4 linked regions of the Lepisosteus oculatus genome follow. The protein of the gene in region 1 interacts with the protein of each later gene in a pairwise test. Links are inferred from orthologs where the notes say so. Each region holds a gene or a part of one and is shown in the gene's direction. Other genes may lie near its edges.

Region 1 (7,370 bases):
AACATTAGGGGCAGCACTCCAGGGCAAGAGATCCTCAAAAAGCCTGATCAAAGCATTTCTGTTGAAGAAGGCACAACTGATTATTGAGAGTGGAGCTTGGATTGGACCTGTCTGTTTTGCCCGAGTTCTCTGACTCTCCCTCTTTTCAAGTCTTACAATATAGCAGTCACATTAATAGTTCTTGTGTAGCGTAGGAAGAGTAGTGTTGTTATAAGACACGTTATGCTAAACTGAACACACCTGAGTAGTTTTATAAGGGACAGGGTGGACAATGTTCCTAGGCACGATGCAAGGCCAGGCTGAAAGAGCTGACATGGATTAGGAGAGACAGGTGAGTCTCAATAGTTATGTGGCTGTTTAGTTCAAGTGACCTCTGGTAAACCAGCCCTGTACAAGACTGGGCACAATCTCCCATCACACACCACAGCAAGCCCAGCTTCACTCCTGGCCAGTATAGATAGATAAGACTTCATTGATCCCGAAGGGAAATTGATGTGTTACAGCAGTCCAGCCCAAGACAAGCAGAAAACAAACAGACATCAGAATAGATGAAAAATTAGAATACGTACAGTAATACAAAATAAATATAAAAATAAATAAATACATAGGTGTGTGCAAAATATGATCATAGTCACTGTAAAAACAATAAAATATGTGAAATATGTGCATAGGTACTGTATATAGAGATTGAGTGTCCAAAAAAGTACAATGGAGCAACACGCTGTCCATAGACGAGCCCTAGTATCAGACTCGGGCCAGAGCCTTGCACCAGTAAATCCAGGTAAGGGCTTGCGGCTACAGCCTAAAGGTTAAAGGTCATTTCCCCCATTAGAGGAAGCATGTTGCTTTACTCCCCTGCTGTATCTGTGGAGCTGTGGTCAGGGTTCTAGACTGGTAACTGGAAGCTTGTGGGTTAAAATCCTAGGGAAAACAATGTTGTTGTTGTTGTTGTAGACCTGGGCAATTTGAAATGCTCCAGTTAATCACCCAGCTGTATAAATGAGAGCAAATGTTTAGTCGCTTCGGATAAAAGCATCTGGCACATAAACTAGTCGCTGGAAGGCCATCTCTTCAGGCAGCCTCTGAGCTGCTGCTGTTACTGCAGGAGGCCTGTGCAGAGTCCTGTCTCTGGTCAGGTGGGAGAGGGTAGACAGGTGTGCTCCCCTCTCTCCATGAAGCAGGGGGGGGTAGACAGGGGAGTGTTCTGCGCACCTGGCTGAGCTCCCTCCTGCCAGCTCAGGTGAACCTCTCCTCCACGCCTGCACCTCCAGGGACACGCAGCTAGGCAGCGCTCGCCGAACTTCGCCCGGCTCCTCCCTCTACTCGAACACGCTCTCCGCAACAGCCAGGTGAAGCTCAACTACTGCATCCTGAATCCAGGAGAAGACACCTCTGGACATCCTTTAAGAACTCAACCTGAGATGGTCACAAAATCCATCAGGGAGGTTTCTTTGCACAGACCCTGGAAATGTAGTTATGTATTTAGATTGCTCTGGTCATGAATATTTAACTGCTTTCCTGCCAGTTGGCAACCCGTCTCATCTGAATGCATTAGCATACCATTACCACGGCACTGAAAGGGGAGAGCTGGGATTGCGGAATGCTGCTGAATCCCTAATTAGCCCAGATCCGAGCGTCGATTTCCACTCGACTGCGTTGTTTCATTACAGATTTCCTTTAGCCCTGCAGCCAAGTGCATCTCTACCCCCCACCACCTCCACTACCGCCGCTACTCAGCCCCCCCCCCACTCCCATAACCCCCGGCCACCTCTCCACCACCCAGACCTCCCGACTTCCTCATTAACGGATCCCAAGTGTCCAACTCTCACTCTCCCAGTATGCACCCATAGGAGCCGGCCTTGCTTCTGCGAGAGGGGGTTTAATAATAATAATAATAATAATAATAATAATAATAATAATTGCTTACACTTATATAGCGCTTTTCTGGACACTCCACTCAAAGCACTTTACAGGTGATGGGGGCTCCCCTCCACCATCACCAGTGTGCAGCCCCACCTGGATGATGCGACAGCAGCCATAGTGCGCCAGAACGCTCACCACACATCAGATATCAGTGGGGAGGAGAGCAGAGTAATGAAGCCAATTCATAGTTTAATGAGAGGCATCAACGCAGCTCCACTTCAGACACCGGGCCAAGGCTTTGTGGCTGGCAGCGCCTACCTCCCAGTTAACTCTTCACCCGCTCAGCACCCGACAGACGCAGAGGTGACCTTTCTCTCCAATCGAAACCTTCTCCTCGAAAACCTTGAGCGCCCCCTCCCTGTACCTACCGTGAGCCGAAGGGCTACTTCTGATCTCGCCTCTGGCGTACCGCACAGAAAACAAGGAGGCACGCCTTTACACAAAGGGTGGCGGGTGTCTGGAACAAGCTAGCGAGCCGCGGCACTAAAGCATTCCCCTCAGATCTTTCAGGAATGCGCCGGGTGAGTTCCTCACTCCAGGATGCCACAATCAACGAAACAAGATGGGCCAAAGAGCTGGATTTCATTTGCAAATACCCGTGTCCTTAATTGTGCTTAATTGTGTAAAAGCCTTCAGAGATGACCTGACAGAAGATAAGGGTCACACACTCTGTGAAGGCGAGTTCATCCCCAGAAATGACGCCTTCGCAGAGTTCCTTGGAAACGGGATCGGTGTCTGTCCTGGGTCACCGGTGTTTCTGCCTGAACCGTTTTCACAGGGTCATAGTCAGCTTGTGTGTACAGTAAATTCACACTCGAGCAGAGCTCTACATTGGAGGTGTTGTGTTAAAGCAGGGAGACACACTATCTCCACAAACATCAAAGTCCCGCTTAGGGCTGCTGTTACTGCTCCCTTCCACTTTCCGTGATCCACGACAGGCCGTGATCCGTCTGTGGACGGAGCTCAGCTCAGTGAAAATAAAAACAGGTTCTCCCCTGCCCTGTTTCCGGCAGGCCGAAGAACGACAGAAACGCCACAGCCCAGGCAAGCCTGAGCTGCGAAGCACTGCGAAGGCAGTACAAGGGAACACCTGAGGCTCAGACATCAATCGTCCAGCCGCTTCACACGTAGTGTGAGCATCTCCAACTGCCCCGATTTCCTGACGACAACGGCAGAACAAATACTTTTACAGTAATGCACACGTAGAAATCCGATGCCGCGCGAGGAAGCGGCTCAAGAACGGAACTTCTTCCAGAAGCTTTAGGAGATCAAGGCCTGTGGATTTCTCTCATGACATGCCTGAGGCCGCAGACCAAGCTGCGATCCGCCCTTGGTGTCCTGTAGTAAATCTGAGCGCACGCAGAAGGATGGGATCAGGTTTCGACACTCTCTGAGATGGCTCCGCGCTCCGGGCGAGTTACAGAACTGGTCGGGCCCTCCGGACTGCGGAGAGCGCTGAGCTCTCCCTCTGCAGGCGGCCGGCGCTGTGCCCTTGCGAGCTCGGAGCCCGCGGGCTTGACAGAAGAAGATTAAGCAACCCAGGTAGAGGGACTGGAATAAACCGCAATCGCACCCTCTGCCGGCCGCACCCCACTCGCCCCGGCCGAAGTCAGCCGTCAGACTTGGCGCAGGCGAAGTCCCTACAGGTGGCGGTAGTGTTGAAGGGTTTAGCGACCGGAGCACCGGTAATATCACACAACACAGTGCAAGTCTGCTCCGCCTGCCACGGTCTGGTTCGGCGACCCCTTCCACGGGGCGAAAACCGACTTCGTCCAGCGATGAGAATTCAAAGCGCGTAAACTGCAAGTCCGTCAGTTGTGTCGACAACACGTGTAACGATTTCATTGTTCTTAAATGACTGAAGAATAAATACCACACGTCAACTATTTATAAATAACTTTACGAAGGTCATTTATAAATGATTAACTTGAGACATAAGGCGACGTTAATTTAAGCTAATTTAACGTTCATTTAAGAAATAAATTGATGGAATATCAGAGTCTAAGCAAATCCGTGCCGCTTGTCTTTAAATGACAAATTATGCATGCATAATAAACTACGATGAACCACGGTTTTGTGTGGTGATAAAAGATGAAGGACATTTCAACGGGAAGCTGATCGAAATCTCTCCGCTGTCAAACACTGAAGTTACCATCTAATATATTAGAATGCAAGAAAGTTTTAAAACGAGAAGAGACCAACCGGTCCATCTAGTTCGTTTGGAAGTTAATTAAGTGAACTCATCCAGGTATTAGCTACAGCTTTTGGGCTGTACTACTCTTTTTCTGTAAAAAAGAAATGCACGTTGCACAGGAGAAGGGGAGACGACAAGTTACGTCTTTTTGCACAGGTTACAGTCTTTCAACTAACGGCCTGGTTTCGCTTGACAGGACTCCTGAGTGGCTGTGGGCGCGCCTCCCCCAACAGGGAGTGGCGGTGACGCGCAGCACCGCGGCTCCGCGCATAGATCAGGCAAGCGTCGCAAACAAGGAAGTGAAACAGTACAGGAAAAACTTTGCACGGAGACCTCAGTGTTTTGTTGTTATCGCGGAAAAAAAAGGCCCGAAACCTAGCTCCGCGTCTTTCTCTCCCTCTGATTCGAGTAACCCGCACAGGAATTCAGGACGATGAACAGTAAAGGTAAGCCGTCTTAGGCACCCGGTCGTTTTCGATCCAGGCTCGGTCGCCTCGGAGACGACTTGGGTTAAAGGGTTTTGTTTTTGTTGTTGTTTTTAACTGTTATTTGAACAATTCACGTCCCTGGTCGTGCATCTCGTAAGGACGTTCTTGAACAATCGGCGGACACGGTACCGCGGGGGTCGGCTGACGGTCCAAGAACGTGGATTCGGGTTCTGGGCCGCCGAACCGAGTAAAAGCACAACAAGGCCCGTCTGGTGTCAGTGTGCAAACCTGGGCAGAGCAGCTGCGTAGCTTATGCTGCAGGATCACGGCGGCGGAGGTAAAAGCGTCAACAGCAAGCGCTGTGGGGCTGTCCTTGTGTAACCTCGATGGTATAATAATCATTTGCTGCAAATCCGGAACCTTCTGGAGACAAAAAATGCCGTTCGCGTCTTATGCGTTACGGATTGGCGACATTGTTTTATGCGCCAGGAGAGGGGATGTCAGGCTGTGTACGTGTTTCGCCGAGCTTCGTTATTTACTCTAAAATGGACACTGCCTTGTCTACAGAGCACCACCGAAAGCAGTGATAAAAGAACGCGAAATTCCGCGATCCGCCGATCCACCTAAATCTATTTCAGCCCGTTTAAATTAACGTACCTTATAATGTCGAGGCTTGTATAACACTATCGTATTCATTCCCACGGGACTTGTATCTTAGACATTTTACTGAATATCGTCTTGCTGGGGTTGGGGTAGAGGCCTGGTTTCTTGAATATCCTTGAATATTAACCTTGCAACTCGCTGCTGGCATCATTTTAACAATGAACCGGGGAAACTCGGTATTAAATGACGAAGTGAATTCGTATTTAGGATCTTAAAACAAACACTCCGGGAGACAGATTAAGTTTTAATTTGGTTTTGTCGATTAAGATGAAGAAAGTCATTTTTCGTGTATAATGTATTTTTTAAAAATAAAAAGGCGCACCTCCACCGGTGCAGAATTCATCCTAGAGAATAGAGAATATCCTAGAGAATATACGAGTTTTCTTTTAAAAATAAACGTAGGTTTCGCATTGTGGTTCAGAAAGGGTTTTCATTTCATTTATGCTCATAAAGAAAGAAAGGCTGGGGGAATTATGGTGAGGGATAAGAACTACATCGTTAGCCAGTGGTGATCCGGTCCCGAGTCTGAGTAAACGTCATACAAGCTGTGTAACATCTCAGACCAGATCAGCTGCCAAAGCTACAGTGTGTATTAACGTGGCATTGTTGTTAACAGCAGCTGGTAAGACGGTTTCAAAGCCCTACAAAATGGAATGCAGGGACTCTGCAAGTAAAAAAGGGCGAGTAGTTGGCTTGGAAATACCTGCACCCCCAACCCCCACCCCTTTTTTCTGATGGGATGGTCTTTGGTTGAGCTTGGGAAGGAGGTGATGATGCGTGAGATGGAACTGACCCACTGGTTCTGGTTGGGATTGGGATCTTTGAGTCGTTCGGGTCAGGAATGGTGATGGTTGGGTCTCCTGCTCCCTCAGACCGGCCACACACTATGCAGCCCAGTGGTCAGGATCCTGGACTCGTAACTGGGAGGTTGTGGGTTCGAATCCCAGGGGAGACACTGCTGTTTTAATAATAATTGCTTACACTTATATGGTGCTTTTCTGGACACTCCACTCAAAGCGCTTTACAGGTAATGGGGACTCCTCTCTACCACCACCAATGTGTAGCATACACCTGGATGATGTGACGGCAGCCATAGTGCGCCAGAACGCTCCCCACACATCAGCTATCAGTGGGGAGGAGAGCAGAGTAATGAAGCCAGTTCATAGATGGGGATTATTAGGAGGCCATGATTGGTAAGGGCCGATGGGAAATGTGGCCAGGACGCCAGGGTTACACCCCTTTACCCTTGAGAAAGGTCCTTCACCTGCATTGGTCCAGTATAATCACCCAGCTGTACAAATGGGTGCAAATGTGAATCACCGCATGAATTGGTAAATAATTAGTTTGAATGCAAACCATCTAGACCGGCAGTGTTCTGAGTGTTCTGACCTCAGAGTGTTTCGCTGTCCCTGGAGCTGTGCAGGCTTGCTTACCGGGTGAGAATACTGGCCCAGAGCACCAGTGACATCTCTTTTGTGCAGAGCTAAAACTCTACAGACTTCCTGAGATCACAGTGCTGCTTCTCCCTGGTGGGTCCACTATTGGTAAAAGATTCCAAGGTCATGAACCTTTTGAAAACCTGAGTATATGTAATATTTTGAAATGCATCAAAATATTTATTGCTGTGCAGTAAGTTGAAATTGAAAATCGTCCCCTTTATACGTTAACTATGAAAGCACTGCCCTTTCCTGCTGATATCTACTGCATGTGCTAAGATGATGTCCTTATCCAGGGTGACTTACTAGTCCGATTTATAGACTTAGATTGCTGCTATCCAGCCTATTTTTAAAATCTATACACCCCATATTTGCATAGAACTTAATTTTCTGACCACGCAGAGACAACCACATTGTGTCAGCAGATGTGGTGTAGTTCTGTCTTCAGAAAGACAATGCACATATATATTTTAGAGTACTTTCCAAAGATACCATCCAGGGCTGAATTGTCTTTCCTGCAATCAAAACCCTTTAAACCAGAGATTTTTATGATTTATTTGGCTACCGATAGGTCTTTAATTTGTGTGTTCACAGCTTGACTAAAACGTCTGCTTTGTGGTGTAAGAGAATCCAAACAAAAAGAATCCGCAGTAGTTCTGCAATAAATCTGATCTCAACTGGCACAGAAATTCGAAAGGTGTCCTTTCAGTTAATTGAGGTTGGGTT
Region 2 (7,847 bases), on another chromosome or scaffold:
GAAAGCCGGTGAAAAGCTCTAGATAAGCAGGTCGTGAGTTCACTTAAGGGTCCTGTTATCCTTAATGTTGTGTTCAGAATTTAGAGAAACGCTAATGTTACAGTTGATTTAGACACAAGGCAATGTTAAACTACATAAAATTGTTTAAATAATAATAACTCACAACTGGCAATCCACTGAAGCTCAGCAGGTGTGAGCCTGGTCAGTACCTGGATGGGAGACTCCTGGGAAAAACTAAGGTTGCTGCTGGAAGAGTTTTTAGTGGGGCCAGCAGGGGGCGCTCACCCTGCGGTCCATGTGGGTCCTAATGCCCCAGTATAGTGACGGGGACACTGTACTGTAAACAGGCACCGTCCTTCGGATGAGACGTAAAACCGAGGTACTGACCCTCTGCGGTCATTAAAAATCCCAGGGTGTTTCTCGAAAAGAGTAGGGGTGTATCCCCGGCGTCCTGGCCAAATTTCCCATTGGCCCTTACCAATCATGGCCTCCTAATAATCCGCGTCTCTGAACTGGCTTCATCACTCTGCTCTCCTCCCCACTGAGAGCTGGTGTGTGGGGAGCGGACTGGCGCATCATCCAGGTGGGGCTGCACACTGGTGGTGGTGGAGGGGATCCCCATGACCTGTAAAGCGCTTTGAGTGGAGTGTCCAGAAAAGCGCTATGTAAGTGGAAGCAATTATTAATTATTATTAACTGTTCATAAGAGTGTGAGTATTAACCAAGTGACCTGGCTGCAATCTCTGTGTCTTTGGGATTTTGTTCCACATCTACTGCTAATTGGCCGGGATTATGAAATCCTTAATCACACGGGCTGTTTGGTTTTCATACTGTACTAAGGTCTCAGCTTTGGAAGTAATCAGCACTGTTAATGTATTTTTCTTCCAGTTGGAGCCATTTACACAGGCATTTTACTGAAGCAATCTGAATGATGTCCCTCTCTCAAAGAGACAGATCTGCCAAGGACTGGTCCCAAACCTATCAGTTTGCAATCCAGACTCTCTGCCACTCCTCCTGCTTGCTCAACAACCAGCTCCTTTATGTGTATTTTTACCAGGGTGCTTTGCGAACACAATCTCTATTTCATCTGGGTGTAAAATAGTCGCTGTCACATCCAATAAGATTTCTGAACACCTCATTGTCCGTCAGTGAGCGACACATCCACGCAGACGGCAATGACACTGTGACAGGCACTCGGATTATAGAATTTCACACTGTCTAGCACCACTGATTACACTTCCCCTTGAAACCACTGTCACAGCCGAGAGGAATTCTGAATCCCAGCTCCTGGCCAAGGGGTGGAAGATGACGTCTCAATCTCTCTTACTGTCCAGAGGCCGGAGCTGTTTTTTCTCCGAACAGCCAAGCGTTCAATTCTGGCTCGAACACGTGTAATTAAGAAGGAACCCTGCTGGAATAAAAGGCAGGAATTCCCAGACCCTGCTTGAGAAGCACTGGTCCGTTAGGAATTATTATTTTGGAATTCCGTCTAGGAGAGACTGATGCCTCAGAAACCTGGTATAGAAACACTCGGGTGAGCCAGGTCCTTAGACAATGACTCAGGGCTTCTCCTTTATATAAAACACCCTTTTAAAATAGTTCACGGACATATTTGTGTGTATCTCCCAACGCATTCACACATACTCCCAAGTATAATGGGAATCCACCTATATCAGGTGTTCCAGGACCGGTTCTGGGGTCCAGGGGACCCCCAAACCTACTGGTTTCTGTTCCCCTTAAGTTAAATAATTTAGCTTGAGTAATGTAAATAATTTAACCCTTAGTAGACCCCCAAAACAGAATTATTTTGTACCCTTAAATTGCATTTTAACTGTTTTCAATTCCTATATATCTAGGCTGTGTTCCAAGTATCTTGAAATATCCTTTCAGTACCACAGAGTGCGGCAAAGATTCTCAACAGGCAACCTGTTGGCTTAGTTCAGGATTTATTGAACTCTATTAGGTGACCTTTGCACTGTGCCCTGCAGATGCCTTTTCTTCTGGAGGTGAAACTTGAAGATGACGACTAAATATGATGATGACGACTGGAAACGCTACAGGAGCACGGACACGGCACGCACAAGCGAGTCTTTAAAACGGGGCCGGCCTACAAACTTTCGGATGACCCATTTTAGAATAGAAGTTACTACCAGAGTATGGTGTGCTACTGTACATCACTAAGATTTTTTTTTCAAATTAAAAGGCCTGTGCCCTAAAGCCGACCTTTTCAGCTGCCTCTAGCGCGTAAAACCAGTATTCCTTCATGATTTATTGATCAAAGAACGAATGAAAATCACGTTGATTTCGTATCCCCCCCAGAACCAAATCCTTGTGATATTTACGCCCCGGGACGCGAGGTTCGAGACGAGCCATCCTGCGTGTAAACGGCAGCCGGTCAGACGGGGGACTTACTGATCGCAGTCACGACGGTCACCGCCCCGCACCTGGTCAGTAGACTGAACCACTGCCCCTGGTCCCACATGTCTCCCAAGAAGAAGGGGGCGTCGCTCCCTCGGGGTACCTGGCACCAGCTGGGGTGAGGGGGGATAAGGAGAAAGAGGGGGTCTGTGGAAGGAAATTGCCCCCTGGGTTTCCGTCGGCCTTGAGAACGCGACCCGTTTCTGAGCTCTCCGAGCAGCGCGGCTATGAATAGTCCTAAGCGAGCTAAATCAGACCTGATTAGAGGCTTCCATAGTAGATTAATGACTAATTCGAGCGCAGGAACACTCGTTGCGTTATTTGCCCCGGCTCTCTGAATCCTCTGTTAAGACCGATTACTGCCAACAGTGCAGCTCTGCTCTGCGCGGTGACTGGGGCAGCCAGAGCCACTTCTTAGGGGGGTTTTGTCTCGAATGTGGGTGTTTGCGCAGAGAACAGCCACAAAAAATAAATACCTAAGCAGGCCCCAAATAATCCATTTCAAAAAATAGAACGAGAGTTCTTATTTTAAAGGGTTTAAAACACGGCCAGGTATGCCAAAATTAACACGTTATGACAGAGGTAATTTATTCTCTAGTTCAGCGACATATCTTTTTCACCGTTAAACCCAGATCTTGGACGCACGTGGACATCCTCCAGACATTCTGGAATAATCTGTGTTGAACCCAGAAAGGAAAATTGGAAGAATTAATTTGAGCGCTGCAAACCTCGCATTTTTCACGATCGCAGGAGTTGTATCGGGGCGAACTACGGCGTTGTATGTAGGTCAGATAAGAATGAGAACCGCCGAGCCCGTCTGAGCGATGTCCCGCTGTTCGCGGCTCAGAAATGATGCTTAGACCGCCATCCTCCCATTAACACAGTGCCTGACCGCACACTCACATGGGCGGTTTGTGCTAACGTGCTATAAAAGCATGGGTTTACATTCCATACATGATTTTTTTAAAACAAAATCGCGCCTGTTTTAAAACAATTCAATTCCCACAGCTGCTGAGCTTTCACAACTCAATAAAAAAACAAAAAGATCGAATCTAAAATGAAAACAAAATAACTACCACAATGTTTTTTTTTTCCTGAAGGCCTTCGTTGGGATGCCCGCTGACAAGAATATGCCAAATACTCTCGTGTTGGTTTGGGGCAACTGGGGTGGTCCTGCGCCAGCGAGCCGTTGGATAACGCATTTTGGTGTGTAGACTTATTCTCCTTTCAGTTTTTACGTAGCAGTTTTATTGATTTTCAAAATCACTGTTTAAATATTTCCCCGTGAAGGTGTGCAGCATAATGTTTATTTTGTCACCCCGACGACGCAGTAAAATACGTCCTATAAATGATGAAATAACGTACACTCGACCCATACGATCACAGCTGTTGCAAAGGTACATCTGTTTGTACTCTCCTGTCTCTAAAAATGTTAACATTTCGGAGGAACCACTGGCGTATTTGATTAACAAAACTGTCGTTACAGTTTAGAAAGTATTGCTGCAATAGAAAGGACACCGTTTGACGCAGTTCGCGCATTTTGCTTGTGGATGAAGCCGTTCCTGTCGGCCAAACCATTGTTCTGTGCAAAATCGTTGCTCCTCCGTCGTTTACGTTGGCAATATAACTCAATATTTCTCTTCTTAGAAACAGGATTTTGTGAGACTTTATTGTTATATAGACTTTCTTGTTTCATAAGGCCTACCACTTATTGTTGAGCGATTTTAGTAAAGGGAAATAATCGTCGTTTCTTAAATGGAAACCTTTCTGAAGTATCACCTTGGCCAAGTTTGGCCGCCATCTTGTTTTCTGTGGCTACATTTACTGTATTTTACACCCAATTAAAAATGATATGTGATACTGTGGATTTTATATTATTCGTGTATGGTTATTTAATAAATATTCATCGCCTGGATAGGGCGGAGTGTGATGTGTGTGGCCAAGGGGGAAATTTTATTTGGTGGATCAAGACCTCCACTGTGTTCCCCGTTGAGTATTCAAGATGTGATATCTTGATAGATGTAATATCTGATTGCGTTTCTTTTTCTTGACTCATGTTTTGCCGCATACTAAAATGGTGTATCATGTATCATTTCTTTCAAAATACCTCACAAAATGGACGCACTTAGTGGAAAGCATAGGGCCCCCCCAAAGCAAAATTGGTGCTTTTATTGAGACTTTTAAAAGTGTAGGTTCTCAAAATTTATATCAGTCCAATTGAGGGAAGTGTTTACACCTTACTATGTGATGTATTATTTTATTCCTCCCCCAAAATGGACACAAAAAGACCCGCGCGAGCCACAATAAAAGGAACTACTTCGAGAGATTCTGCTCGGGGCGGATTTTATTCGGCAGGGCCTCGGTGACGTCACCCCGCCCCCGCCCCTTTCGCGGCGCTCTCCTCCAATAAGAGCCGCGGGCTGGCAGGGAGGAAGTGACGTTGGCCTCACCAGCGCCGAGCGACAAAAAAAAAGAGAGGAGTGAGGAAAAAAAAAAATCGCCTGCCTGCCTGCCCCCAGATCGGGCTTATTTGTTTTCACCGGGTGGGCGAATCCCCGAAGCTTCCTCAGAATTTTAATTTTTTTTTCCTTCATTTTTTTTTTAAATTTTCCGTCGCCCACCGGGGAAGGAGGACAGACGTACGCGAGGTGAGTTTGTTGTGATTGTGTGGCGGGTATTGTTCCCTCTGGTGGCGTCGGAGCGCGCGGCTCATTGTCCTGCCGGGGGGACCCGTCTCCCCCCATCCCGACCGGCGAGCGCCCCAGCCCCGGAGCCCACGGGCACGCTGGCGTGTGCGTGTCTGGGAGAGGGGGGGGGGGACCCGGGGTTCCTTTAAAGGCGGCTGCCCCCGGTTTCGCGGGGGAGACGGCAGGCTGGCGTGTGTGCGCGGCGACGCGTCGGCCATGTTGGACGGGCTGTCCGGGCTGAGGAGGGAGCTGCTGGGTCTCTCCGCCCCCGCTGGCCGCCTGCGTGCTGGGTGCTACTTTAATTGCTCGCTGTGCAGGAGAAGCCTGGAAATGCGGCGCGATATTGGACTACAATGTGTAGCGTATAATGTGACTCGCACCAGCGCTGTGAGTGCAGGACAGTTTTTGCCTTGCGGGTTTATCACGTCATTGTTTCGTTTATTGTTTTTAAAAAGCCCTCAGTGCAAGTGTGCAGGGTGAAGATGGACGCTGCGTTCTGATAGGCTGCTGCGCGTATGACGTAAACGGCCCTTCATGTCGTGAGGTCAACTTTCTGCGAGGTCTCGACGTCACTCTGACGTCACCGGTGACAGAGTGAAACGGGCGGGCGTTTTTATAACGCACGGTGTTCGGTACAGGTTTTTTTTATTTGGCTCACAATTTCAGAACCAAACTCGCTCCGAGCCCGAGGATGGGAGGAGAACTGGAGTGTTATGTATGTGATTTTTCATTTTGCCGGATTGTGCACCCCAGGGTGGGAAATATTTGCTTTTACATCACTTCGGTTGTAGAAGTCCGAAGACAATTAATTCATTTGGTTGGTATATTATAAATAAAACAGGCCAGCAGCCATATCACCCTGCAACTCACAACTGGTAACCCACTGAAGCTAAGCGGGTGTGAGCCTGGTCAGTACCTAGATGGGAGACCTCCTGGGAAAAACTAAGGCTGCTGCTGGAAGAGTTTTTAGTGGGGCCAGCAGGGGGCGCTCACCCTGCAGTCTGTGTGGGTCCTAATGCCCCAGTATAGTGACGGGGACACTATACTGTAAACAGGCGCCATCCTTCGGATGAGACGTAAAACCGAGGTCCTGACTCTCTGTGGTCATTAAAAATGCCAGGGAGTTTCTCGAAAAGAGTAGGGGTGTAACTCTGGCATCCTGGCCAAATTTCCCATTGGCCCTCACCAATCATGGCCTCCTAATAATCCCCATCTATGAATTGGCTACATTACTCTGCTCTCCTCCCCACTGATAGCTGATGTGTGGTGAGCGTTCTGGCGCACTATGGCTGCCGTCGCCGGCAGCGAGGTCCAGCCCATAGAGAAGGGCGCCGTGTCCCCCCCTCCTCCTGGGCTGGACTGGTAGGCCGGAGGGATACGGTCTTCCGCACGTTTCCAAGGATCGACCTCTCACAGCTCAGGGACGGCGTGACTGTTCGCCAGGACAGTTTACAGGGTGGTGGTGGTAAATCCTGACCCAAGATCAATGCCTCAGCCGAGCTGGAGACCACAGGAGTCGGCTGTGTACTGGGGGACGCTGCACTCCTGTCTTGTCCACAACATACCCCCAAGATACCCCCCCGCACCTCTGCTCCTGGAACTTGGACAGCAGCTCCAGCATCTTACTGACGGTCTTCTTCTTGGCGGCGGGTTTCTGCGCGGGGCTCAGCCCCGAGGGGGGGTCGGCGGGCTTGGGGGGCAGGCTTTCCGCCTCCAGGGGCTGGGCCGGGGGCGGCAGCGCGGGGGCGTTCTTGGGCGCACCGGCCACCTTGGTCTGCACGGCGTACGCCCGGATGGTCACCTGGCGGAGGAGCACGGACAGGCTGGGCTGAGGAATATCTCAACTCAACGACAGCAGCAGCAGCAACAACAGGGGTGAATGTGGCTGATCAACAACACTCATCATAAGCTTTACCAATTCTGATTTCGTCTTACGGGAAAACTGAACACCATTTAGCAGTGGCGACTTCATGGGAGTGTGGAACAAGCTATACAGCTGATAGCTGATGTGTGGTGAGCGTTCTGGCGCACTATGGCTGCCGTCACATCATCCAGGTGGGGCTGCACATTGGTGGTGGTGGAGGGGAGTCCCCATTACCTGTAAAGCGCTTTGAGTGGAGTGTCCATATAAGTGTAAGTTATTATTATTATTATTATTATTATTATTATTATTATTACTGTGGTGCGAGTTACATTTTGTACGTTTGTGTGTTCTCTCAAGCCGGTCTTTTCGAGCAGGTTTCTAGAACTCTGCTTGAATGGTATCTCCCGGCGTAGAACCCCCCCCCCCCCCATAGAAGAAGTGGAATAATCCGAGTCCTTCTACAAAGAGTCACTCTGCAAGGATCTCTTTGCCAAACAGGTTTTCACAGTGATGAGTCAATGGAGTGGGTGTGATTTTAAACGGTTATGTGCGCGGCTCGTATTGTTAAATGCATTTTGCTTCTGCAGTGCAGCCTTGAAGATAAGGGAGGAGACTGCGGTTGAGATAATTGATGACAATTGTCCCCATCATACATCAGACCCCTTTAGCTCCCCCTTCAGTTTTTTATGTATTCAATTAAAAAAACAAACCTCGTAGCTCGACAGATGGGAGGTTGAAACTGCCAGGCACCGCGCTTCATCTTTTACAGAGAGCGCGTGCGGAATTGCAAAGGCACTGCGCCTCGTGATCGCTTATTGGAAGCCCACTGAGATAATGGCGGCTGCTTCTATGTCGGATCCCTACGAGATCCGCGTACG
Region 3 (6,942 bases), about 1.4 Mb from region 1:
GTTGTTTTTTCTGTCGAATACCGGTCTGTTGACGCATGTTTAGCAGTTGTGTTCGCGCAGTTCCGCAGCTGAAGGTCTGCGTGCTTTCTGGAGATCGGGGCAGCGGTGCTGTGCGCGTCTTAACAAGCCGCTGCAGTCCTGTCACTCGGGAAGAGGGGTCAGAGTCTGAGCCGCCTCGGAGTGCAGCGGCTTCGACTTTTGACAGCGGAACGATCCTGCCGATAGGTTAGCGCCATTTTAAAACTCCGGCCTGCGCGACCACACTGAGCCTCTAACAGGAAGATCCCCGAGCCGAGAGGCTGCCTTGGGGGCGTGAGCGGTCGCTCTGCTGCCGGAACGGCCTGGGCTGTTGGTGAGCCTCCGGCTGGGGGTGCTCATCGCTGTCCGGCCTGGCTCGGAGCGGGCGTGGGGCTGAAAGCGAGCGTGGTGTCCGTGTGACACTCGGCTCGGGCTCCGTGCGAGGCGCTGTCACCTGGAATACAAGCCCTTCAGGCGAGTTTCCGAGTGGGCCCGGCGTGCAGTTAGTCCCCTCTGCCTGCCCCGTGTGCGGGCTGATTCTCCGGCAGGGCTGGGGGGCTCGGCCTGACTGACGGTGTTTTTCTCTCTTTGCAGTGGAGGAAGAAGAGAATGCGCAGGTAAGCGGCCGAGCGGGCCGGTGGGGAGGAGGAGGAGTGGGGGAGCCGAGTCCACGCTGCAGCTCCTGGCTCAGGCTGCGGCGGCTGGAAGGGGGCAGTGCGGCCCGTAGCGCGCTGGGACTCCTAGCTGGGGCTGTACTGGCCCTGCTGGGTCTCTAAATTCTGCTGGGATGAATCGTGAGGAGTGGAGCCGAGATACAACTCTGTCCCACTAAAAAGGCGTAAAGCTCTTTAGCATCAAACATGGAAAAATGAACAAGTGCTTGATGGGCAGCAGTACATATGCATGTCTTTCTGCCCATATTGCACTACTCCTTTACAGTTACAGAGTGCTTTCCTGGACACTCCACTCAGAGCTCTTGATGGGTATTGGGCTCTCCTGCACCATCTAGATGAAGCAACGGCAGCCAGGCTGGTGGTCTGCTCCCCACACATCAGCTGTCAGTGGGCAGGAGAGCAGAGTGATGAAGCCAGTTCAGACATGGGGATTATTAAGAGGCTGTGATTGATAAAAGCCAGGGGAAAATGCTTGGGTAACACTCCTACCCTCTTCAAGAAACTGCGTGATTTAAAAAAAAAATGATTGCAGAGAGTTGGGACCTCAGTTTTACCTCATCCGAAGGACGGTGCTTTTTTATTACAGTATAGTTTGCCCATTGTTGTATGGGTCCTAATGCCCCAGTATAGACTGCATGGTGAGCACCCCCTACTGGTCCCACTATCACCACTTCCAGCAGGAATCTTAGCTTTCCCAGGAGGTCTCCCGTCCAGCTACTGGCCAGACTCGCACCTGCTGAGCTGCAGGGGGCTGCCAGCTGTGAGTTGCAGAGCAATATAGCTACTGGCTATTGCAGCAATGTACACTAATCTGATGGCAACTGTTCCCTGCATGAAGCTTAGCTGTGTTTAATATACTGGCTGCACGGGGAACAAAGGATTTATTGTACACATGTATTCTAAAATACCTCCCTGAAGTTGAAAAGTCAAAATGGGGATGGCGAGAGGGGTTGTAAACGATGGGCTGAGCTCTGCTTTGAACTGCTAAATAATACAGGTCTTTAAGCTGGTTCTGCTGACCAATTTCTCTAGCAGGCTCAATTAAAATTTTATCCCAGGGGGCAAAGTTGGCCTTATGGCACAGCCCAATAAAGCAAGGAAGGCGACGAGTTCCCTGGCAGTGGGGATGAGGGAGTTCCTGAGTGTTGGGACTGGGCTGCAGCATCAGCCTGGCACTCCTGTGCTAGTGCCCTGTGTGGCTAAGGTTTCTAAACCATCCAGGTGGAGCTGCACACTGGTGGTGGTGGAGGGGAGTCCCCATTACCTGTAAATTGCTTTGAGTGGAGTGTCCAGAAAAAGCGCTATATAAGTGTAAGCTATTATTATTGTTAAACCAGTGTTTATGGGGCAGGGGGTAGCAGGGCTGCTGGGTCACTTTTTACACTGGCAAATCGCTTAGCACTTCATCTGGTGGAGTTGGGTTTGATTTGGGGACCCTGGGCGTTTTATGCTCTTGTATAGGGATGGGGGGGTAACGGGTGGTTTTGGGGTACCAGAGCTGAACTCTTCCAAGTTACCAAGAAACTTGTAGAAACTGAGAAAATTGTATAAAGGATGAGGGTTCACTGTAATATTCTCAGCGGGAGGCCAGCTTGTCCTGGGTCAGAACTGTCGGCTCGGCTCCCGGTCAGTGTGCTGCTAACCGCTGCCCTCTTGTGGTCACAGGCTGAAGCGGAAGAGAAGAAAGATGAGGCAGAGGTCCAAGTAAACTGGCTTCTCTCCACTGCAACTGTGAGCCCTTCTGTCCCCGCTGCCTGTTCCCTGCGGACGGCAGGCAGGCCTGGAGTTGGAGCTGCTGCAGCTGGAGGACGTGCCTGTTGTTACACCCCTCATGTACCAGGCAATGCTGTGGGGGAGAGACGACCTGACCAGGAGGAGGAGGAGATGAACTGGCGCCTGAGCTCTCCTCTGGGAGGCACTGGACTCTTTGACACCAGCCCAGCACAGTTGCTTTGTATAAAACCTTCAATAAATTCTTTTGGTATTAAAAACCATCTTGATGAGTGTTCCCTTTATTTTTTACGGAGTAACTCCCTGGTGCTCTTGTGGCCTGCACCAGGGGGTTGGGGATGGGCAGCTCTAGGCCTCAGGTGCTTGTTAGAAAGGGGTCTGTGATCCTTGAATTCAGTCTCTCACTCGCTCCACTCCAAGCCACCTGTAGGGCCCCAGCCTTCCAGGACTGGAGCAGCGGGTCTGTGTAAAGAGAAGCTTGTGCAGGCAGGTGGGGTGTAGTTCTGATGTGCCTGGCTTACTGCTGACTGGCTGGGCTGCCAGCACCTGAGTGGCTGCATTTAAGCCTTGATTTTGAGTGAGTGTTTTAAGACCGGTAGACCACTGTGCCCGGTCTGTATGGATTGCTTAGCGTGACTGCTGTCAGATTTTGGATCCGTGCTGCTAACCTGTTCAGGAAGGATGGGGCTGATGTTTGTATTGCAGTCTAAGCAGAGCAGCCCAGGGACAGGTGTGCCCCCTGCAGGAGGGGTAGTTGATGCCCCTTGTCTATTGCAATGCTACTTTTCCCAGTAGAATCACACTTACCATTAACAGGAGAGGATGCAACACGGAGACCATTTGACCTGGCTGTGTTATTAATTGAGCAGAGAATCTCAGCCAGCTCTTCCCTGAAAGAAATTAGGGTCTTAACACACCTGTGAGCCTTGTTCAACACTCCCACACCCCTTTGTATAAAGGTGTGTTTGGATTTTCAAATGCACTAAAAATACTGAATTTGTGCATTGTTTAAAGCAGGGTGGTCACTACATGGTAGTGCTGCCATTACAAAATGACCCAAAATCCTCCTTTTGGATCGTGATGGGCATTAACATCCCTATGCCTGAGCTCTTACCCCAGTGCTGCAGGGGTGAAATATAAGCTGCTCTTTCAGCTCCTGGGTTTCTTCTCACTTTTGTATTAATGCTTACTTCCAGAGCCCAAGTACAGTATTTTTAAGTCTATGGCCCCAGGAGTTTCTAATTAATAAGTATTTAATTAGAAATTGTTTAGAACCATAACTGTTAATTATGTAGTGTTTGACACATATTTGATACTGTTTACGTCTGCCTACAGTCAGTGGCGGAATCCATCCTCTTTGAATTTTGCGTCAATCCAAAACAATGTTAAACCTTCTTCACAGTGAGTTTAGGCAGTGTCGCAGAATGCCGACAGGAGGCGCTCTTGGGTCTCTCCTCCACCTCTTTGAAGTTAGCGCTTCCCGAGGTGAGTCGCTCTTGGTTGGGAACGGCGAGTCGTCGGTCTTGGAGGACCAGTGCGGAGTGTGCCTGGGTGCTGTTGTTCGTGTTCTTTGAAATATTTTAGTTATAAAATAAAAATATAAATGCTTTTTCATAAAACGTGCATAATAAATATCCCGAGAGAACCACGACATATAAAAGAGCACAAACTTCCTTTCCCGGTGCTGCAACGTTGTTCAAGGTAAGGCGTTGCAATTTGCTGTTGAGTGTAGGCCGTGGTGTGACGTGTTGAGACTATTAATAGTATTGTCGATATCGTTCATTTTAGTGAGGTTTTTTGTTGTCGTGCAGAAATTCTAAAGTGCATAGTAGCAATACTTAGCGGGAGCAGCATAAATAATGTTCCATTATAGGGCAAGGAGCTGCTGAATTCTCCAGTCCAGCCCCGTTTGGAGTGTCTCAGTCTGCACTGCCGGTGTCAATGGGAGTCTCGAGTATAATGCCAGGAAATAACTAATCCAGATCTCAGTGAAATCAGTGCTAATCACTGTGTCACAGTCTGAGCCGCTCCAGGCTGTGCTGGACTGACTTGTCTGTTGTCTTGATTAGTTATTCCCTGAGATCAGATTCCCAGAGATACAGACAGTAGGGTCTGAGCTGCTCCAGGCTGTACTGGACTAAGTTGACTGTCCTCTTGATTAGTTATTACCTGAGATCAGAACCACATTCCCAGAGATACAGACAGTAGAGTCTGTACTGTACTACAGGCTGTACTGGGCTGACTTGCCTGTCCTCTTGATTAGTTATTACCTGAGATCAGAACCACATTCCCAGAGATACAGACAGTAGAGTCTGTACTGTACTACAGGCTGTACTGGACTGACTTGCCCGTCCTCTTGATTAGTTATTACCTGAGATCAAGAGTATCAGACAGTAGAGTCTGAGACACTCTTGGGTCTCCTGCTGTTTCACATTAATCACCTTGTTGACGTTGTATTGCAGCGCCATTGTAATGGATGACGCAGTGGACCAGAGTCTCGCTCTCCAACATTGTTTGATTGTCTGTTGCAGATGTCTCCACGGAGGACATCGCTGAGCTGAGGAGCCCAGGGAACGCGGCGCCCACTCGGACACGCAGAGAGAGAGAGAGCCGCACGCGGACTCCACGGCACGCGCACAGACAGGCGTCCGCGCGAACATTGCCACACAGAGCCAGGCCCGTGCGCGCGATCACCCACATGCGTGCCGCGTCTCCCTTTTCCTGGGCACGGCGCCATGCCTGACCGGGATAGCGCGTACCTGTCAGGCGGGGGGGGGGGCGCGGGCGGCGGCTCGGGCAGCGAGGAAGGGGGCAGTGGGGGAGGGGGCGCGGGGGGGGCGGCAGGAGGGGGAGCCGGGGCGGGGGGAGGGTCTGGGCCGGCAGGGGTGGGGTCCGTGGGGGGCGGGGCCGGGGGCGGGTTAGGGGGCGGGGGGATGGGCGGGGGGAGCGCGCTGGGCAACGGCAGCACCTGCGGCAGCGGGGGGCCCGGCGGGGGCCTGGGGGCGGGGCCCGGCTTGGACGACGTCTGCCGGGACTTCCTGCGCAACGTGTGCAAGAGGGGGAAGCGCTGCCGGTTCCGGCACCCCGACTTCAGCGAGGTGCCGGACCTGGGGGTGCAGAAGAACGAGTTCATCTTCTGCCACGACCATCAGAACAAGGAGTGCGTGCGCCCCAACTGCCGCTTCGTGCACGGCTCCAAGGAGGACGAGGACTACTACAAGAAGACCGGGGAGCTGCCCCTCAGGCTGCGGGGCAAGGTGGCCGCGGGGCTGGGGCTCTCGCCCACCGACCTGCCGCTGAGCCGCGGCGAGGTGCCCATCTGCCGGGACTTCCTGAAGGGCGAGTGCCAGCGCGGCAGCAAGTGCAAGTTCAGGCACGTCAAGAAGGACTACGAGTACGAGGCGGCCCGCGGCGGCGCCGGGGGGCTGGGGGTGGGCGGGATGGGGATGGGGATGGGGATCGGGGGTGGCGGGCTGGTCGGGGGGGCGGGGGGGGCCGGCGGGGGGATCTCGGGGCTTGTGGGCGGGGGAGGGGGCGGCGGCGGGGGGGGCCTGCTGAGTGTTGGGGGCGGGCTCAGTCTGGGGGGCTCGAGGGACCCCGGAATGCCGGGGGTGGGGGGCGGCGGGGCAGGACTGTCGTTGGGAGCCCCTGGGCCCCGCAGGTTCGACCGCGGCCCCTGCTCGCTGTACGACCCCCTGTTCGAGGGGGGGCTCTTCGACCCCGGGCCCCTGGAGGACCCCGTGGACGCCGCGGTGCAGCTGAAGAGACGCAGGCTGGAGGGGCTGAGGCTGGCCGAAGGGGGTGGCGGTGGGTGTGCCGGGGGCCACTATGAGCTCGGGGTGCAGGCAGCCCCCCCGCCTCCCAGGCCCCTGGAGTACAGACTGCTGGAGGAGGAGAACGCGCTCCTGAGGAAGAGAGTGGAGGAGCTGAAGAAGCAGGTGAGAGAAGGGGGAGACTCACGGCTCGGGCCGAAAAGAAAGGGTGAGAGGGATCAGAAAAAGGAGGGACACGGAGGCAGCGAACACCCCCTCGAATTAACGTTTCCTCCGCTGACTCCTCGTCCGTCTTCCCCCCTCCCTCTCTCGCAGGTGTCGAACCTGATTGCCACCAATGAGGTGCTGCTGGAGCAGAACGCCCAGTTCCGCAGCCAGGCCAAGGTCATGACCCTGTCCTCTACGCCGGCGCCCTCAGAGCAGAACCTGGCGCCCCCCGTGGGCTCGGTGAGCTCCTACAACCACAGCATCGCGCAGACGCACACCACCCTGAGCAGCGCCGCCCTGCAGCCGCGCCCCGTGAGCCAGCAGGACCTGGTGGCCCCCGCCGCGGCGCCCCCAGCTCCCCCGAGCAATGCGGCCCCTCCCTCCGCGCCCCCGCCGCACCTCAACCCGGAGATCACCCCTCTCTCCGCCGCCCTGGCCCAGACCATCGCGCAGGGCATGGCGCCTCCTGTCTCCATGGCGCCCGTTGCGGTCTCCGTGGCGCCCGTGGCAGTTTCCATGGCGCAGCCCCTCCCTGGCAT
Region 4 (6,900 bases), on another chromosome or scaffold:
TGGAGTTGCATTTTAATATTATGTCGATGAATAATATAATCGCACAAAATCCCACTGGCTCTTCTTTACAGTTCTGAGTGGAAGACTAGTGCACAACGAACAACTTATTTGATACCAACATAATTAATTCCACAGTACCTTATAGCATTATTAAAAAGCACTGAAATAAAGACATAAAATGACATGCATTTTGACTTCAAATTACACTTAAACTATAGGCCTGCAGAGAATGTAGAGCTGATACCCCCCAAGACTCTTTAGGACCTGTCTGAAATAAACATCTTTCACCTTTCTGTCTCAGTCTAAGGCTCATACTCGGCCATTCTTAACTTGTGAGGGCTGTCTCCAAGTCAAAAGAGCATTTCTAATGTCACCATCAACTGCTTACTCAGGGAGAAATACCCCTGGCCCTCATGCTATTTTTAAACCATTTGAAGCACACAGGAGCTTGCATAAAGACTTGAATGTATTCTTCATAAAAGCATATTATTGGGACTCACTCCTTTTTAAACATGAATGGTGTTGATGGAATTAGAAAAGGAAATGTTTCTTCACACGGACGGGGGAGGGGAGGACAGAACAGACTTTCTGCTCAGGTGATTCAGAAACCCTGCTCTCCTTCAAGAAGCAAGTGAACAAATTCTAGACTCTCTGAACTGGCAAGAAGGGCTGTCTTGTATTTGCAGCCTGTTGTGCATATTGACCTAACCTTGAACATCTGATACGCAAGCCAGCTGCTGACACTCCTTGTACTTATAACAGGTCCCAACATCACTTGCTGCCTTTTTTCTAGAAACCCCAGCAGAAATGCAGATGGCACATAGCCATGACATCATCATAGGCTTGGTATGTAAAGGAATGTCCTTTTGCTGAGCACCATGGCAAAGTATTCATGCTTTTCCCTAACATACTGTGCATGTATACATGCTTTATTCCTTCCACATCATAAAGCAGTCTAAATTGATCTCAATCTAAAACTATTCTTGATGCAAATACTTTTTCAAATAAGATCTCTAATCTTAAAATGTACTGTAGGAAGTGATTTATATACAGCACTAACATGTTTGTTTGCACAGTAATTAACTCTTTAAAAACAGAATCATCCTAGTGATACAAATTACAGAGCTGAGAATAATATTTATCTTAGTTACATGTGCAATTACAGCAAATATAACACTAAAACAGGATATTTTAAACAATGAATCAAACACTTTGATTCCAACTTTTTCTTTAGGTGTTAACTTTGGCTTGTGAAGTTGTAAGCTTGTCTTTAGAGTAAAACATTTTCCTAGTGACAGGGAGTTTTGTAAAAACAGGATTCTAAAATGTACAGAAAATCCCATATCTTCCAAGACAGAGCAAACTGGTAGTGGGGGAAAAAAACATCCTGTAACATTCAGAGATAAACCCATACCTGCTTTTAACAGGTGCTTTCCAAAACTATAACAAAATACACTTAAAATGTTTTAATTTAAATTTACCTCAAGCCTGCGAAAGCATCTTCACTAAAGGACCAAGGACCTTTAGTTAAGGACTAAAGGACCAAGGCAAAAGTATTTTTGCTGTATGCTTCCCTTGCGAGAGTATTTGGCTCTGAATAGCATGCCAGCATCGATCCCGCTTATCGATACTACTACTGACATCCGCATCAGCGATTGCCAAGCGATACCGGACAGAAACAGATGTTACTATCTATATCATTAAGCTTAAAGGTGCTGCAATGCATAAGCTACAGATCCCACCCCTCCCCCGACCCACAATAGCCTCGGAGAAGGACGAAAATTGAATATATGCAAACGTAAACAATACGTTACCCAGTGCCAGGCCCACATGCTGACCAAAGCTTCGCAACAAGTTCCGAGACCCTCTAACCAAAGCGGCCATGTTTCCTTCCCCTTGACCTCAGCGTCGCGGTGTCAACGCTCGAGTCAGGAAGTGACCACGGGGGTGGATGAGAGTGACACCGCCTTCAGCCCAATCAGAGGCAGGGTTGCCCACTATAGCCAACCAGAACCCGGGAGGGGCGGGATATCCTATAGCTTATCTTTGGAGCCGTGCGTCTTTGCGGGAGTTGCATGTCTGTAGAGTTTACACATTCAGGTTCGAAGCCAATTTAGAAAAGACAATTAGATGGATTCAAAGAGAAGCGGTTTAATAAATAATACCAAAATTCCACCAATATTAAATTAATTTACGAGGTTACCTTTCAGAGAGGTCTTACTTGGACTGTAAAGTTGTTGTGTCCTGTCTCTGGCTGGTACAGCGATTTACACCAATTTTTTTTATATCTGTTTTTTTTTTTGCAGGCAGAATACGGAGTTCTTGTATTATTGGGGTTGCATGGCATTGAAGAAACCCAGCAACAGGATATTATTATCAGGGACTTGCAGGATACAAGTACAATAGCCAGCAGCCATATCACCCTGCAGCTCACAACTAGCAACCCACTGAAACTAAGCAGGTGTGAACCTGGTCAGTACCTGGATGGGAGACCTCCTGGGAAAAACTAAGGTTGCTGTTGGAAGAGGTGTTAGTGGGGCCAGCTGGGAGTGCTCACCCTGTGGTCCATGTGGGTCCTAATGCCCCAATATAGTGATGGGGACACTATACTGTAAACAGGTGCCGTCCTTCTGATGAGATGTAAAATTGAGGTCCTGACTCTCTGTGGTCATTAAAAATCCCAGGGCGTTTCTCAAAAAGAGTAGGGGTGTAACCCTGGCGTCCTGGCCAAATTTCCCATTGGCCCTTACCCCTTACCCATTGGCCCTAATAATCCCCATCTATGAACTGGCTTCATTACTCTGCTCTCCTCCCCACTGAAAGCTGATGTGGGTGAGTGTTCTGGTGCACTATGGCTGCTGTTGCTGTCGTGGGAAGGGGAGTCCCCATTACCTGTAAAGTGCTTTGAGTGGAGTGTCCAGAAGAAGCACTATATAAGTGTATTATTATTATAATATCATCTCAGATAAATGAGATCTCAGTACATCTCATCTCAGTCCATACCATCCCAGATACAATTTCCAGTATGTTGCAGAACTGGTCTAATTCAGTTTATTGCACATTGCTCCAAAGCTAAATTGGTTAGACCAGGTACTCTTCTTCACTCACCTGTCACTCATGGCCATCATAATGAAGTGTGGGTATGATGCCTGACGCTGCCTTTATTCCTTATTCATCATCCTCTGAAGGTCAAGGTGACATTAGACCAGTAGTGCTTTATACTTAAGTATGAGTCCAGATTTAGCACAGGACATGTGGACAGTGTCTTTTGTTGTTAACTAATAAAGAGCAAATGAATGGTTTTGTCTATGTGCAATGAAAACAGTTTTTGTAAAACAGCTTTATTAAAATGTTTCTGTAAGTCTCCATGCCACCACAGTTATTGAGTGATGTGATGATGGCATGAAATTGTTTTTATAGGATTTTAAAATACAGTTTCTATTGAGTTTTTTTTAAGATTGTGATTAGACATTTGCTGTACTGCAGAGATATTCTTTCTCCGTAGTCTGGGTAGGATTGTCAAAACCTATGTTTTTACGTGGATATTTTGGAAGATTTGAGGAAATATAGAGGTAAATTGAAGGATTCATTATCTGGGATTCAGGATGATGAGAGAAACCCAGGATCTGTTTCTCACAGCAGGACAGAATAAATCCTTAGCTTTAAATTTCTTTAAATTTAAAGTTTTTAGAGTGGTGGGAGTGTGGAACGTGCTACCCACCCGTGTTGCTGAAGACGGTGCCAGGCGAAGTCTTTGGATCAAACAAGTTTTTGCAAATAAGGGGGTTGGAGGGTGAATGACCTCCTCTCATTTGTCACCTCTCTTATGTGCTTTTGAAATAAAGGCACAGATGCACAGTCAATAACTTTACGCCTGCGCAGTGGGCAAGGGCACCGATCCCGGAAGTGACGCATCGCCCCTCTTCCAGGAAGAAGGGCAGCGGCGACCGTAGAGCTGCGTCAGTGACGGTTTACCAAGGTAACTGGGGTTTTACTTCGATTTCACATGGCGAACGGTTGTTGTGTGGTTATTCGTTAATGTAGTTGTGTTCTGTAACGATTATTAGTGTTAGTCCTTTTACGTGGCAATGTAAAAATTGTGTGGGATTTGGGTTACGTTATCATTCCCAGTCCAGCAGTGACGAACCACAGGCTTAGCCGTGTTTAAATAACAAGCAGAAGGGGAAGAAATTGAAGACAAACGTTTTGGAGCTCAAACTTTGATTGTAGTTCTGCTTGGGTTGCGAAGGGATTTTAATGTTGAAAGTCAGTATTAATGTTTCAACTATCGGACTATGGACTATGGATTCGGCCGTAAGGCCCTTAGGAACATGAAATAAACTTTTTATTTCTGCCCACCACTTGTATTGAAAAAGAAACTAAAGTCGGTTGTTGTCTGTCCTTGGACCGTTTGGTTTCGATATTTGTTTTGACCTTTGAGTTTAATTTTGTTTTGTTTACATCCATCGATAAGCGATCCGAGCATGCTGGCGTGTCAGTTAACAAGCTTTTTTCAGGAGGAGACTGGACTCCTAGATTAGTGAGATGTTTAATATCTCTTCAGGGTGCGTTGCTTTAACAGCCTCGGTCGCTGTGGGACCCTGCTGTTGTTGATGTTCGGTAGTAACGAAAAGTACGAAACCCCAACAACTCGAATAACGAGTTAATAATAATAATTATTATTAACTCGTGAGCGTCTGCGGGTCGTGACGACGCTGTGTTGGCGGCTGCACTGGCCAATCGCAGGCCAGAGCCTTCAGTGGTGTTTACCTAACGGGAATGTCAACAGTGGCCCCGGACCAATAGGGGGGTCCGGGGGGCGGGTCCGTCGAGTCTGAGCGAGTCAGGCTGGTGTTGCTCATGAGCGTCTGGGAAATTCTGTTGGTGATGAACTGTCATGATCTGCACGACTGGGGAATTTCGGCAGCTCTGTCGGCGAAGGTTACACAAAACCTTTGAAACCCACCTCACCCCCCCAATCTCTCGTTTCTGTCTGCGTGCCATTGTACTGTAAAATGAACGTGGTTTAATAGTGGACGTTGTGAACGATGATGCTTTTCAACTGATCTTTCGTTTTGAATCGCACCTTAAGCGTTAAAGCCTTTCATGCACATAAAAAAACCAAACGGTTATTTTAGTAGTTACTAAAAGTCTTTACGTAGGCAAAGATGTTTTATGTAGGCATTTTTATTTTTTGTAATTGGTTTCTGATGTTCCCAGCACTGACGTCTCGGCACTTAATGACTTGTCAGACGGATTCATATTTGTGATTGTTCACCTTTGCCCGGTGCTGGTAGGATTCCTGGGAAAACAGCTGATCTAGTCCTTTACGGTTTCTGGCTGAGTTGTTTTAAATTGATCCTGGATGGAAATTGTGCTGTTTAATCGGGCCCTACTTGTGCCAACGTGGCCAATGACAACCGAGTTGTTGCCAGTCCCAGCTAGGAGCCTGTCGACTCTGAACGATCTCATCTCCAAGCACACCACAAACTGTTGTGTCATGGTCTGTGTTGGAAATCTGAGTTGCAGTGTAGCAGATAGGGGAGTCTTCAAAACCACCACTTCTCTTTATGGGTTCTTTGAATTCATTTTATAATCACTCTGTTTTGCGAAGTACAGTCCATGGAATGATACTGGTGTACGATAGGTTCTGCAGTTGTGTGATATGATAGTGTGATGAGTTGTCACGTGATTAAACATTGAGGACAGCTCTGTGCTTTATCCTAATTGAGGAAGTGAGACCTTGCTGGATGAATGTGACTGCAGGTTGCAGAATGAGTAAATTTCTTAAATGACATGATTCTCATTTGGTACAATGCAAGGCTTACCTTTTATGAGTTTGTATATCAATTCTGTTATTAATTTTAGGGTACAATTAGACAGTGAAGGATTCTGCTCTGATATCTAATATCTGTGAGCTCTTTTTACAAAATAGATCATGAAAGCTTTGTGTTAGATGGGGATGTTTTTCATGGAATGCTAAACTGTTAATTGCTTGGAGATGACAAAGTAGATTCTTTGGGAAATGAGTTCTGTAGTTCTACATGGGTAAAGTACACCTAGTTTACAAAAATGAAACTCATGCGACTGGCCTCTAGAGATAAGTACTAACCAATGAAGAACATCAGGAGAGAGTCAGATTTCTGTTCTGAGCTGCTTTGTAACTAGACAACATAACTGCACGCAGGACTCTGCTTTGATGACAAAGATAAACTGTCATCAAATTGCACTAGATCAGAACACACATAACCTTCAGGATCGAGGTCACACAGATGTCTTCCTTTGAAAATCTAGTCAGCCCTTTTAAAAAGCAAGATTAAAAAAAAGTTCTTTGCTCATGAAATCTCTCATGAAAGACCATTCACATGGACATTTAACAGCGGTGACAGGACTTGATTCCATCAAATTGATTCTGACTGAATTAGGTGTGATCATGAAACTGATTTAGCTTACTATGTAAGGAGGTCTTTTAACTCTCATCTAAAGAAAGAAAGTCTGAGAATAAAAAGGCTCTTCCTGCATATCCAGTCTTTCCTTTTGACATGGAACAGTTCCTTTATGTCACTGAACTGTACAGCTAATTAGCAGAGATCTGCACGGCTGTATTGTACTTGCCATCTGTTTCTCATACCATTAGTATCTGAGGTATCTGAAAAAATATAAAATATCCTTATTTTTTTTGGTAAGAATTAAATGGAGGTTGTGAATATTCAGAGCCTTGAGTACAATGGTAACAGGTGAAAGAATACTAGTAACTAGTAGCAAAGATGGTGAAGTAATTTCCACTGCTTCCCATTTGCTGGACTGTGCTGTGTGTCCACACCCCTCCTGTGTGCGTTAACAGGATCTGAAGGATGAGAGCCGAACACAGGAGCCCTTCCTCGTGGGTTCGACACAGCA

What was found.
Region 2: the proteins of dazap2 (region 1) and pogzb interact in binary tests that used the Homo sapiens proteins (3 or more experiments, as listed by UniProt). The two-hybrid records come from large-scale screens. The link is inferred for Lepisosteus oculatus from reciprocal best matches to the Homo sapiens genes DAZAP2 and POGZ.
Region 3: the proteins of dazap2 (region 1) and zc3h10 interact in binary tests that used the Homo sapiens proteins (3 or more experiments, as listed by UniProt). The two-hybrid records come from large-scale screens. The link is inferred for Lepisosteus oculatus from reciprocal best matches to the Homo sapiens genes DAZAP2 and ZC3H10.
Region 4: the proteins of dazap2 (region 1) and tax1bp1b interact in binary tests that used the Homo sapiens proteins (3 or more experiments, as listed by UniProt). The two-hybrid records come from large-scale screens. The link is inferred for Lepisosteus oculatus from reciprocal best matches to the Homo sapiens genes DAZAP2 and TAX1BP1.

The regions. Positions count from the first base shown.
Region 1 is NC_090696.1:16,039,648-16,047,017, reverse strand, and holds the start of dazap2 (DAZ-associated protein 2), read left to right. Parts: upstream 1-4,366; 5' UTR 4,367-4,550; coding exon 4,551-4,563; intron 4,564-7,370. UniProt on the Homo sapiens protein: In unstressed cells, promotes SIAH1-mediated polyubiquitination and degradation of the serine/threonine-protein kinase HIPK2, probably by acting as a loading factor that potentiates complex formation between HIPK2 and ubiquitin ligase SIAH1.
Region 2 is NC_090722.1:3,868,459-3,876,305, forward strand, and holds the start of pogzb (pogo transposable element with ZNF domain), read left to right. Parts: upstream 1-4,841; 5' UTR 4,842-5,061; coding exon of another isoform or gene 5,062-5,162; exon of another isoform or gene 5,163-5,165; intron 5,166-5,421; exon of another isoform or gene 5,422-5,492; intron 5,493-5,516; exon of another isoform or gene 5,517-5,820; intron 5,821-7,847. Other genes in the region: retinol dehydrogenase 13, read right to left, coding at 2,413-2,531, 5,062-5,162. UniProt on the Homo sapiens protein: Plays a role in mitotic cell cycle progression and is involved in kinetochore assembly and mitotic sister chromatid cohesion.
Region 3 is NC_090696.1:14,680,657-14,687,598, forward strand, and holds the start of zc3h10 (zinc finger CCCH domain-containing protein 10), read left to right. Parts: upstream 1-3,937; 5' UTR 3,938-4,124; intron 4,125-4,954; 5' UTR 4,955-5,158; coding exon 5,159-6,361; intron 6,362-6,511; coding exon 6,512-6,942. UniProt on the Homo sapiens protein: Specific regulator of miRNA biogenesis. Binds, via the C3H1-type zinc finger domains, to the binding motif 5'-GCAGCGC-3' on microRNA pri-MIR143 and negatively regulates the processing to mature microRNA.
Region 4 is NC_090705.1:398,546-405,445, reverse strand, and holds the start of tax1bp1b (tax1-binding protein 1 homolog B), read left to right. Parts: upstream 1-3,890; 5' UTR 3,891-3,979; intron 3,980-6,900. Other genes in the region: hibadhb (3-hydroxyisobutyrate dehydrogenase b), read right to left, coding at 1,815-1,884.